Oryctolagus cuniculus: one gene and its partners. The protein of the gene in region 2 interacts with the protein of the main gene of each other region in a biochemical or structural test. Links are inferred from orthologs where the notes say so. Each region holds a gene or a part of one and is shown on either strand. Other genes may lie near its edges.

Region 1 (3,988 bases), on a different chromosome or scaffold from region 2:
GGGCTGCGACTCACAGGAGGCGTGGGTTCCCAACAAATGCGCTGCCCACCCCCAGGCCCCAGCCACACAAGCTGCCTCTGCGACACCCGTCCTCAGCCCACGCCCCGCCCTCTGTGTGCAGGGGGGCGGCCACCCCGACTGCAGCCGGCCCACGCCACGGAGACAGTGAGGGGACTTACGGGATTGCTCCTCATGGCTCCTCCCACGGCCCGGGCAGCCTTGGGGTTGCCTGCCAGGGCTGCTAATTGCTGGTAAGAAACCACTTCTCCGAATTTCACAACCTTCAGCAGCTTCCACAACACCTGTCTGGTGAACGACTCTGGAAGGGAAAATGCAGAGTGACATGATTTGGACAAACAGCTCTAACAGCCCTGATGTAAATACAGCTGCCAGCCCCAAACAGAAGACGCAGGGACACAAATGGAGGTGTTACACTCAATTAAAACGCAGCCTCGCACACCGCCGCGCCATCGCCGACACCAGAGCCGGGAGCGCGAGCAGGCACCAGGCAGGCAGGCCCCCGGAGGCCGGCCCGACCTTGGCCACATCTGTCACCTGCCTTCCTCTTGCCCACGTTCCACGCAGGACGCGTGGGACACGCTTGCCCTCGGAGCGCATGTCTAAACTAGCACACGGAGCGGCTAACAAGCACAGAAGTGCCGCCTGTCTGCCTACTTGGGAACCTTTTGTCTTCGTTTGTTTCCAACTTCAGCTGGGACACAGAGGGGAGAGGCGGCCATGGCCCAGGCTATGGTATTACGCTGGTTGTCCAGACCCAGTGCCCCGTAGCTTCTGGTACGGGGGGTGGGGGTGACCTCAGCTGCAGCCATCTTTAACCATCAGGGATGCACACACGGAGTAATTATATTCCCATTTTCACCGACCACATCAGACCGCATCTGCTCTGCACCCCGCCGCAGGAGTGAACGATGGATACATGGCGGCTGTCTCTCTCTCTCCTCCCTCTCGCATTCTCTTTCTCTGCCTCTGGGTGTTAGAAGTGCTTCCTGAGTGTAGAGTCTGCAGCACACAAATGCAGGCACTCGCGTGCCCGTGTGAATCGAGACGCCTGTCTTTCCAGAAGGCTGCTGGACTCGGGAGCGGAGATGGAGCCCGTCCTTGCCCGTCCTGGGGCTCCGGTGCCTCCAGGGGTGGCACTTCTCAGTGGCAACAGAGGACAGGGCCCACAGGCAGGAACTGTGCTCCGTATCCACAGAGCACTAATTACACTTGTGCCAGGCTGGCAAAGTGCGATTTGGCTCTTAAAGGAAACACACCCTTACACGCGTGTTAAATAATAAAAATCCCTTCTTAACTGAAGGGAGCGATAATCACTTCACTGGGAAAAAAAATCTGTTTAGTCTTTATTATAACATTAAGCAAATTAAACATCAGCATAATCCAGGTGATACTAGAAAAGGGTCATCAAAGAAATTAACTTTGTTGTTCATTAATTTACATGGATTAGCAGAGGGCGAGAAGGCAGCAAGTGTGCTCCACTTTTTTATGATATAATTTCAAACTGTACACCATTTGTGGCAGGAGGGTGACTTTGGGGTTAATCAGACTGATTTGTCCTTTTAATTGCTTTCTATTCAAAGAAAATTCATTAGATAATGTTCTCTTCAAAATTCATGAATCAATTTAACTGAAGAAACCACATTAACAGCTCTGGGTTCATTAGCACACGCGGTTGTGTCAGCGTGGAGCGCTGCAGGGACTTCCGTAGGCACAGACTCTGTTTACTGCCGCTGCTCCAGAACGGGGCTCGAAATCAGACTGCTAATGGGGCTTGTGTCGTCGCTGCTACTCGGCCTGACTTCGAAGAGGCAAAGCCGAGCCAGGCAGCCTGGTGTCGACGGCGGGAAAGGCTTCGGGGCCAGCTGTCCTGGAAGACACAATGCAAGCTGCGCTGTCCACACGGCAAGAGGCAGGTCGACTTCCTGCCTCGGGCACAGACCAAGAGCTCTGACCCAGGGAGGGCTGCTTCCAGGTAACCCGGGAGAACAGCCTGGGACGGCGCTGAGGCCGCGGGAGGGAAATGAAGGAGTGCAGACCTATCTGGAGCACGGAGCGGATCTGAAAAGCAATGGCGCCGTTCCAGTGCTGTCCTCTGGGCCAGCCCCGCGCGTGGCTCTGACAATGACCACTAAATACTGGCCCCTTTCTCTCCAAGAATTAACGTGTCACGTAATGAGACAAGAGCCTGTGCTCTGTCTCTGAGCACAGTTTATCAGACAAGGCTGGCTTCCCAGGCAGGAATGCGTAGGGAACCGTCTCATCACAGGGTGCACCAGGCAATACCTTAGAGCAAGGACAACCTGCAGAATGTGGAGTGTCGCCATCAAGCTCATGTCACTAATGCACCTGAGAACTCAGTTTCACGCTGTGGGGAGCAGGCCTCTTCGCTACTTTCAGCACCTCTCAGACATGGCGCTTTGCCTCTAGCCCGTGCACAGCCGGCTGGGGCGCCGCGCCCGCCTCTGAGGTCAGTCTAACCTCGGGGAAATCTGCTCACACAAGCAGCAAGGACGCAGAAATGGTAGCTTCTGGGGTTTAGGTGACCACGTGACTCCTCAGCTGGCCCGAAGGACCACTGCTGCCACCCCCTTCCCCATCTCGGTCCTGCCCCAAGAGCTGGCTGGCCCTGCAGGGCTGGGTGAAGCGGCCCCTGCGTGCCCATTCTGGATGCTCCTTTCCCTCCGCCCCTCCTCTTCTTTCTAACCTCTTCCTTTCTCCGGCCTGTTCCGGGGCCTTGGGCACCACGTGCCCCGTCGCGGAGGTCCAGGCTGATTCTGCTGGTGGCTGGACAGCTTAGCGTTCCCGCATCTTAAGGACGTGGCTGTTTGCATTTCGGCTTAGGTGGCTACTTAAGCACCCACTTGACACCTTCTCGTGTGGAGATGACGGTTTCTAAGTGCTCCTCCGCCTGCCCATGAGACGCCGTTGCCCGCTGCGGCTGGCTGTGGGGAAGCCATCTGTGTCCCGACGCCAGGCTTTCCCGCCAGGCCTCTGCACGCCAAGCTGTGAGCGGTGGTCAGGCATGGGAGGCGACCAGGCCGTCTGCACTCACATGTGTGGACTAAGTTGGCCAAGATGGCTCTGATGAAGGGGGATGTCACACGCCAGGGCAGGGCAGGTGGAGACAGGCAGGGGCCAGCTTGGCTCTGCACCTCCGATCTTAGGTGAGGTACTTCTTTCTCCTGGTCTCATCCTGACAGCCACCTTAATACACATGCCCTGCGCACAGCTGGGCTCAGAGAGCAGCCAGGGATCTGCCGGGCCGGCTGGGGCCGGCTGTCTCAGATCAGCCCCGTGACTGCCCCGGGTGGCAGAGCTGGGCACCTCCAAGTCCTGGGGGAGAACCTTCCTTCCCCTCGTCACAGCTGCTCCTGTGGAGGGGTGTGGTCTCCCGAGGGAGAGGCTGGGGTCCACCAGCTCATGCCTGGGTGTCGCTCCCCCTCTTCGTGGAGGAACGACACAGGACCCTGCCCTGTTCTTTCGTCTGCTCGGCCCTCCCCGGGTTTGCTGATGGTTCTTCCCGGGTTGGCTACTGTCCCTTCCACCTCCGTGGAAGGGCGGTTCCCCCTGCCACTTTCCCCACTTCTGCAGGGGAGTGGCACACCGCCGGCCGGCTCTCTCGGGGGCTGCACAGGTGTTCCTTCAGATAGATGTTCCCCTTAGATGTTCCTGGTGCATGTTGTCTCTCTCCTCCTTTATAGTCCTCTTCCACCAATCCCAACTCTCCTACCCACACGCTGAGTACGCTGCTCTCCTCCAATCAGGAGCAGGATCAGCTCCTGGAGGTCATCACTCAAGTTGGCGAGAGGCAGCTGCGTAGAAGCTGTTTCCTCCTCTCCCAGCGCCATATTGTGGGAGAGCAGATGCATAGAACAAGTCTTAATTCCAGTAACTCAGTCCAGTCCGTGTTGGTCCCCACACCTGGGGTCCTTGCTCAGCTGGGCAGACACTGGTGGCACAGATGCAG
Region 2 (3,988 bases):
TTCTACGTCTGCGCTGTGCCACCCACCCTGGGGCACCATGGCTCAGAGTCCCCAGCCCGGCTGAGGCTGCCCGAGCCTCTGAGCTGATGAGACGGCACCTGTGCCTATAGACCCATCTGATTATAGACACTGATTCGAGCCGCACGTGTCCTGGGCTTACCCAGCCACCTGCCTGTGTCGGTGTCTCTGGGTGGCCGTGTCTCAAGCTTCATAATTTTACTTGAATGGGTTTTATGCAGAAATAACACCTTACGTTAGCAGGAAAGTATATAACCCTCTAACCTGGGCTGGTTTTCCTTAGTGCTAGGCCTAGCAGCTGAGAAATTGCAGAGTACCCATCTCAAGCCAAGCGATGGGCGTATAATTAGTATTCTGTGTTTCTGTATTAAAGTCCTGGCATCACAAAATAGACCTTCCGCTCCGAAGTGGCCGGTTTCACGGCACAGATGCGTTGCTGCAGCAGCCATCGTTTCACATCCAGATGCATAACTGCTGACGAGATGCGAGGGGACCTCACTGTCACTGTGTCCCGAGGTCGGCGCCGCTGTGACTGAGCCCGCAAGGCAAATGTCTTGTTTCTCTTTGGCGAGGTTTAGACTGTCCACCTCTGGGACCCTCAGTGGGCCTGTTAGATTTTTTTTTTAAAAGTCTCATTCGCAATAGTTGGTCAAAGTAGCATGATTTTTCCCCCTATCCTAATTCAGTCTACAATCTGGTTCTTGTAGAAAGTGAGAGACAAGAAATGAGCTGCAGGGTCTGTGCCCCAGTGATGCCTGGGCCTACGGTGCTCCTGGGCTCTGGGGTTTTCCACATCTGTCTCGGCTCCAGAACTGGTCCTCGCTCCAGTGGTGTGTCCCACGCCTACGACAGGGCCGCTGGGGGATGTGAGTGTTGGTCTCACTTGGCAGTGGTCTCTGAACCCACTGTTCTGATATTTTTTTTAAGATGTTTGAATTTGAGAGGTAGAGTCACAGAGAGAGAGAGGGTGAGACAGAAAAGTCTCCCATCTGCTGGTTCATTCCTCAAATGGCCACAATGGCTGGAGCTGAGCCAATCCGAAGCCAGGAGCCAGGAGCTTCTTCTGGGTCTCCCACACAGGCAGGGGGGCCCAAGAACTTGGACCATTTTCCATTGCTTTCCCAAACCATTAGCAGAGAACTGGATTGGAAGAGGAGCAGACAGGACACAAACTGGTGCCCACATGGGATGCTGGCACCACAGGCAGAGGCTTAGCCTACTAAGCCACAGCATTGGCCCCATGAACTGATATGAAAAAGCATTAATTTACATGGTGAGAAAGCTCTCCCCTTTTCTATTTTCTCTCAATCTTGGTTGTGACACCAAGAAAGATTCTGTCTGGGGCTAGCATCTCCTTAGCCCTGGGCTCAGGTAGATATGCATCAGCGTACCCGTCACACTGATGTACCCTGGCTTCCGACCGCCACGCCCACTGTCATCAGCCCCTGCCAGCCCCTCTCTGTGCCTCCTCCCTGGGCCGTGAAATGGCCTTCTTGTTTCCCATGTTAGTGCTTCTCAGGCTAAAACGTGCATTGGAGTTGTCTGGGCGTCTTGTTAAGAAAGAGAACTCTGAGTTAGGTTGTACCTTTGAGGTGGGGCCAAGGTTCTGCGTGTCTACCAGGCTGCCAGGTGGTGGCCAGACCATGGGCCTACCTACCCACTGTCAATCTCAGCTGCCTATGCCAGTGGTTCCTGCCCACTGCTGCACAGCGAATCACCCGGGGAACTTTCAAAACCCAGTACTTGGGTCACTTCCCTCAAAACACTCTGATTTAATTCTGATCACTGGAGCATCTCACACCCTCTACCCCGAGTGATTCCAGTGTACAGCTGGGGTTGGAAACCACCAGCCTTTACAAAGAGCACTTTCTAGAAGTTCCAGTGTGGGTGCAGCTCCGTGGCCCAGGTCGGACGGGGGGAGGGTAGTGTTGCTCCCAGAGAGCCGCAGAGTCACCTGGGACCCCTGTGAAATGCGAGTTCTACTTCAGCAGGTTTGGGGGGTGCCTGAGTGTCAGGCGGTGCCAGGTGCCCAGGCCGGAGCACCAGGACCCACACGGTGCCCAGTGACTGCCAGTGATGGTGACAGGCAGCTCCTCTCGCGCTGAGTCAGACCTTTTGAGTCTCACCTCCTCTTCCCTTCAAACGTGACGTGGTCGCTTTTGTCCAGCGTGGGATCCATGGCAGGACACAGGTCCACGTGGGGCGCTTCTCGGGTGGGTAACGTCGTCTTCCCTCTCTCTTCACAGTACGAGATGCAAAAAACCTGATCCCCATGGATCCCAACGGGCTTTCAGATCCCTACGTGAAGCTGAAACTCATTCCTGATCCCAAGAATGAAAGTAAACAAAAAACCAAAACCATCCGCTCCACACTGAACCCGCAGTGGAACGAATCCTTTACCTTGTAAGTGGTCTCTCCTCTTGATTGAGTTTCGTTGCCGCCCACTGAGCAGCTGCCCACCCCGTGGCCAGAGGTAGCGAGGCACGTTCCCCATGAAGGCCGTAACGCTGCCTTCCTTCCTGGCGCTGTCTCAGGCTGCCACCGGCAGACGGCTGCCATCACCCCTGTGAACAGACAGTGCCTTCCTCTGCCGGGAGCTGTGTTCTACAGGCCCCACGTGATGATCATTGCCTGTTCTGTACCCAGAAATATTCTATGTGAGCTGTTACACTTGATGTAAAAGTGCGCAACGTGCATCTTATCTCCTGATGAACTTCGGTTCCTTAGGGGAGGGCATGAGGCACAAGCTTAAATAAGGTAGAAAGCAAAGTAAGTCAACACAGAGGCTGTCGATGGCATTGAAGTGAGCATCCTCGCCTTCAATCGGGGAGGACTTCCCGGAGGCAGCAGTGTTTAAAGTGGGAATTGAGGGATTTGCCAGGACTTCAGAGGTAGAGATGGAAGAGGGGGCAGGAGGGCTGAAGGAGTCGGGTGGGACGGCACAGGTGTAGACTGGCCCATGGGAAGCAGGTCTCTGTACGGGATGGGCTTTGTGAGCCATCCAGGCTCCATTGCACACCCACAGTGAGGTCCCCATGTCAGAGCAATGGTAGCCAATACGTAAACACAAGGCCATGGCTGCATTCTAATAAAGTTGATAAAAACAGACAGTGGGCCAGATTTGGGCCATGGGTCATGGTTTGCAAAGGCCTGGTCTAGAGCTTTGCTTGCCATTGTAAGGGGTTGGTTTTTTGTTGGCACAGAAAGAGAATAGAATACACTGGCTGTCTATCTCAGGCTTAGATCACGGCCATGTCATAGAAATACTGATCAAGATATGCCAATGTGTGTGTGTGTGTGTGTGTGTGTGTGTGTGTGTTTTGCAGCAAATTAAAACCCTCCGACAAAGACCGACGACTGTCTGTAGAAATCTGGGACTGGGACCGAACAACAAGGAATGACTTCATGGGGTCGCTCTCCTTTGGCGTCTCGGAGCTCATGAAGATGCCAGCCAGTGGATGGTGAGGAAGCCCCTGAGGCTGAGGGTGTCCCGCACGGTAGCCATCTGGAGACTTGGACCAAGCCGTGCAGGTCCTTTGCACTGCCTGATGAGTGTCCAGATGCCAGCTGTGGACTCTCCCCGGGATGCGTGCCACGAGGCAGCTCCACTGGGGTTGTGGGAGGCTTGGGAACCCGCAGTGGTGTGGTCACAGCACCCCTAACTGCCTTCTCCCCTGTGTCTTTGAAAGGTACAAGTTGCTGAACCAAGAAGAAGGTGAATACTACAATGTGCCCATTCCGGAAGGGGACGAAGATGGGAACGTGGAGCTCAGGCAGAAATTCGAGGTGAGGCCACCCACAAAGAGGCCGCGACACCTTCCCTTGCCTTTATGAAGCAGAGCTTCTGCAGGGGCCAAGTTGCCGTGGGTACACTGTGGAAAGGCAAAAAGTAATTTAAATGTTAATTTTGTTCTTTATTTAAAAACACAGACGTTGCCTGTAATCACTTCCCTGTGCAAGCCGTCGACAC
Region 3 (3,556 bases), on a different chromosome or scaffold from region 2:
GCCGGCCGGGGCCCGGTGGGGGACACTGGGCCTGGCCCTGAGTTTGGCCCCTTGGTTCGGAGCCCTCCTGCAGGATGCCAGAGGTAAAGTGAGGTAGGGTCCCCTGGGCAGCGGAGGGGGTCCATCGGGGGCACCATGAGGCCTTCAGGGTGTCCGGCGGGGGGGAGCCAGGCCCTGATCTCCGTCCGGCCCAGCCCTTTCTCTCGGGTCCCCTGGAACGGGGTCGGCGGGGCTGCAGATTGCCTGGGATCTGAACGCTGACACGGGGCAGAGGTGTGGGGCGTAGGGGCGGCAGGAGGGGAGTGCACAGGTGGACCTGGGGCCCGGCGCCCCAGGAGCTGTGAAGGGAGGCAGGTCAGCGGCTGGTCTCACACGCCCGGCCCGTGCCACGCCCGGCCTGTGTGCACGGAGCCCCGAGGCCCCCGTGAAGCAGGACTGGACGTGGGGGCTCCGTCACAGGCAGCCTCAGCAGGAGCCGTCCCCTCCCCTGCGGCCGCCGGAGGCACTACAGTGAGTGTGTGGCCCAGGCAGGCTGGCGGCAGAGCCTGAGCCAGCGTCCCCTGCACGTGCAGGACGTCAACGGGCCCCCAAGGGAGCTGCGTCCTAGGCTCTGCCACCTGCGAAAGGGACCCCAGGGCTACGGGTTCAACCTGCACAGTGACAAGTCCCGGCCCGGCCAATACATCCGCTCCGTGGACCCCGGCTCTCCGGCCGCCCACTCCGGGCTCTGCGCCCAGGATCGGCTCATTGAGGTACGAAGCCCAGAGGCTTTGGGGTGCCGGGTGCCCGTGTGTGTGCCTCCCCGCGTGTGTCTGCAGGGATTTGCCCTCAGCCCTGTGAGGGAGGGTATCGGTGCCCTTGTCTGTGTCCGGCCCCGGGCCCCTGCTGGAGGGAGCTGCCGGGAACCTGAGCGGGCGCCCGCTCCTCTCCAGGCCTTGGCTGGTGGTGGCTTTGATGAATATTTGATGCCACACCTGGCGGGGCCACGTGGGGGCTGGCTGGGCCCCTCGGGCTGCTGACCTGTGGGGATGCTGGCGGCAGGTGAACGGGCAGAATGTGGAGGGGCTGCGCCACGCCGAGGTGGTGGCCAGGATCAAGGCCAAGGAGGACGAGGCCCGGCTGCTGCTGGTGGACCCCGAGACGGACGAGTACTTCAAGCGGCTGCGGGTCACGCCCACCGAGGAGCACGTGGAAGGTGGGCGGCGGCCCCGGGCACGGGGAGGGGCGTGTGTGGGGGCCAGAGCAGCCACAGACATGCTGTCCCCACAGGTCCACTGCCATCACCAATCACCAATGGGACCAGCCCTGCCCAGGTGAGAGGCTGGGCCCACGAGGCCGCAGGGGCACCTCTGGGGGTCCTCTCCCCGGCAGTCTCTGTCCTTGGATGGGGGTGGGCGTGAGACCGAGCTCTGACCCATCCGTCTGTCAGGCCCAGCTTTAATGCTATTCTGGGCCACACACGGTGGGCAGAGGCCTGGGGTCCTGGTGCCCCTGCCCTGTCTCCTACCCCACCGGCACTCCCTGGCTGTTGAGTGCCCCAGGTCAGGATGCCAGGCTCCCCAGGGCCGGCCAGCTGTCTGGGCACTGCTGGGCACCCCGTGTCCTGCCCGGCTGGGCCCGCAGAGTAGCAGAGCCGTGGTGCCCGTGGCTGAGAGGAGCGGCAGATGCAGCTGTGGTGTGCGTGGGAGCGTCTGTGTGCACCTGCGGCTCCCCAGGTGGGAACCCGGAGCACAGCCTGCCCTTGGTTTCCTAGCTCAATGGGGGTTCTGTACGCTCCTCCGGAAGCAGCCTGCCCGGCTCAGACAAGGACACCGAGGGAACCAGACGCCCTCCCGGCTCCACTGTGGTGCTCACACACACGGGGGGCCGGAGGCCTTGGGCAGCGGGGGCCACCACCTCCGGCCCCGCCCCACCGGTGTCCCCAGCCGGCGCGGTCGAGGGTTCACTTTTGCTTCCTGCCCACCCCAGGATGCCAGTGCGTGGAAGCGAGACCCCTTCCAGGAGAGCGGCCTGCACCTGAGCCCCACGGCGGCTGAGGCCAAGGAGAAGGCGCGAGCCACGCGCGTCAACAAGCGGGCACCGCAGATGGACTGGAACCGGAAGCGTGAGATCTTCAGCAACTTCTGAGCCCCCACCGCCTGCTCACCGGACCTGGGCCTGCCGAGTGCCCCACGCCTCAGTGGACTGGGGGGTGGGCCCACCGCCACCCAGAAACCAACCGTGCCCCCGTGAGCCCTCACCCCGCCCCTCCCACCCACTGGGTGCTGGGGACCAGGCAGCTGCTCCTAGTTGGGTGGGGAGAGACCCAGAGAGGCCGGGACCCAGAAAGATAACGCAGAGACCGAGAGAGAGAGAGAGAGAGAGAGAGAGAGAGAGAGAGAGAGAGGGGTTTGGTATGGGGGCAGGGCACGGCCCACGGGGCCAGGGCCTTTGCTGTGGGCCCAGGCCTGCTGACTGAAAGGAATTTGCGTTTTTGCTTTTTTTTTCCCAAAAAGATCTTCAGCTGCACACATGTTTCCACTTAATACCAGAGCCCCCTCCCCCGCTCCCTCGGGACAGGCTCTCTAAATAATTGCAATAAAACAAACCTTTCTCTGCAAACCAGTTCCTCCCCACCCCCTCGGCAGGCCTTCCAGAGTCCTGGGGGCTTCCCGGACACAGCCAGCCGGGGGAGCCGCCCCTCTGCCCCAACCCTGCGCTCCCTGGTGGGGGCCGTCGCTAGGCCTGGGGCCCAGGCTGGAGGATCCCCTCTCCCGCGGAGCAGCCTCTGGACAGGCCCTTCGTCTTGCTCCGCAGCTCCCACAGCTCCCAGGCCTGGGCACGGGGGCACGCCAGTCGCCCACCCCTCCCCGAGCCCTGGGCCCTGCCTCGTGCCTGCCTGGCACCCACCGCTGCAGAGTGGCAGATGCCTCTGCCTGTCCTCCCACCCCTGAACCCCCGAACCGACCGACCAGCACTGCTGTCTGCCTTGTAAGCCATAGCGCATGCGCGCCCTCGGAATAAACAGGCCTGCCTTGGACCTGCCACCGTCCTGTGTGTGCCTTCAGCAGGGGGCGGGGCGTGGAGGAACGGAGCCATTCCTGGGGGCAGCCTGGCTGGGGCGGCTGTGTGTGGGGCTTCGGGGAACCAGGTCCCCTCTCCTCCTGGCCGCACCCTCCGGGGGAGTCCAGCCTCCAGGTGGGCCCAGCGAGGCCACGATGCCACTTTGGAAACGTGGGGGTGGGGGTCCGGGAAGTCTTAGGGCTGAGAGGTTGCTGGGCTGCAGCCCCCGCGGTGGGAGGGGAGAGCCAGGGGTTCAGATCCCCAGCCAGTGGCCCAGAGGCTGCCTCCCCCCATTTCCTCCCTGCAGGTTCTCTGCCCGCACTCCCTGCCCACTGCAGACTCAGCGCGGGCCGTCCTGTCCCCACCCTGGCCTCCATGGCTACCCCCTCCGGACACGGGTGCGTCCACGTGACACGTGCACACACGGCTCCTGGCCCTGCAGACAGAAGTCGCCAGGCCCCAGATACAAACAACCCCCACGCTTTATTAAACAGGCGGTGGCTCCCAGGCGAAG

The links. The genes of interacting proteins can lie anywhere in the genome.
Region 1: of the proteins of PRKCA (region 2) and MGMT, one has a biochemical effect on the other in vitro, tested with the Homo sapiens proteins (2 studies listed by BioGRID). The link is inferred for Oryctolagus cuniculus from reciprocal best matches to the Homo sapiens genes PRKCA and MGMT.
Region 3: the proteins of PRKCA (region 2) and NHERF2 form a complex in vitro, tested with the Homo sapiens proteins (2 studies listed by BioGRID and IntAct, with this or other methods). The link is inferred for Oryctolagus cuniculus from reciprocal best matches to the Homo sapiens genes PRKCA and NHERF2.

The regions. Positions count from the first base shown.
Region 1 is NC_091446.1:2,384,376-2,388,363, forward strand, and holds part of MGMT (methylated-DNA--protein-cysteine methyltransferase), read right to left. Parts: intron 320-3,988; coding exon 180-319; intron 1-179. UniProt on the Homo sapiens protein: Involved in the cellular defense against the biological effects of O6-methylguanine (O6-MeG) and O4-methylthymine (O4-MeT) in DNA. Repairs the methylated nucleobase in DNA by stoichiometrically transferring the methyl group to a cysteine residue in the enzyme.
Region 2 is NC_091448.1:12,867,821-12,871,808, forward strand, and holds part of PRKCA (protein kinase C alpha type), read left to right. Parts: intron 1-2,264; coding exon 2,265-2,421; intron 2,422-3,344; coding exon 3,345-3,479; intron 3,480-3,707; coding exon 3,708-3,804; intron 3,805-3,988. UniProt on the Homo sapiens protein: Calcium-activated, phospholipid- and diacylglycerol (DAG)-dependent serine/threonine-protein kinase that is involved in positive and negative regulation of cell proliferation, apoptosis, differentiation, migration and adhesion, tumorigenesis, cardiac hypertrophy, angiogenesis, platelet function and inflammation, by directly phosphorylating targets such as RAF1, BCL2, CSPG4, TNNT2/CTNT, or activating signaling cascade involving MAPK1/3 (ERK1/2) and RAP1GAP.
Region 3 is NC_091450.1:33,190,258-33,193,813, reverse strand, and holds the end of NHERF2 (Na(+)/H(+) exchange regulatory cofactor NHE-RF2), read left to right. Parts: intron 1-572; coding exon 573-752; intron 753-1,041; coding exon 1,042-1,195; intron 1,196-1,269; coding exon 1,270-1,313; intron 1,314-1,968; coding exon 1,969-2,127; 3' UTR 2,128-2,564; downstream 2,565-3,556. Other genes in the region: NTHL1 (endonuclease III-like protein 1), read right to left, coding at 2,565-3,556.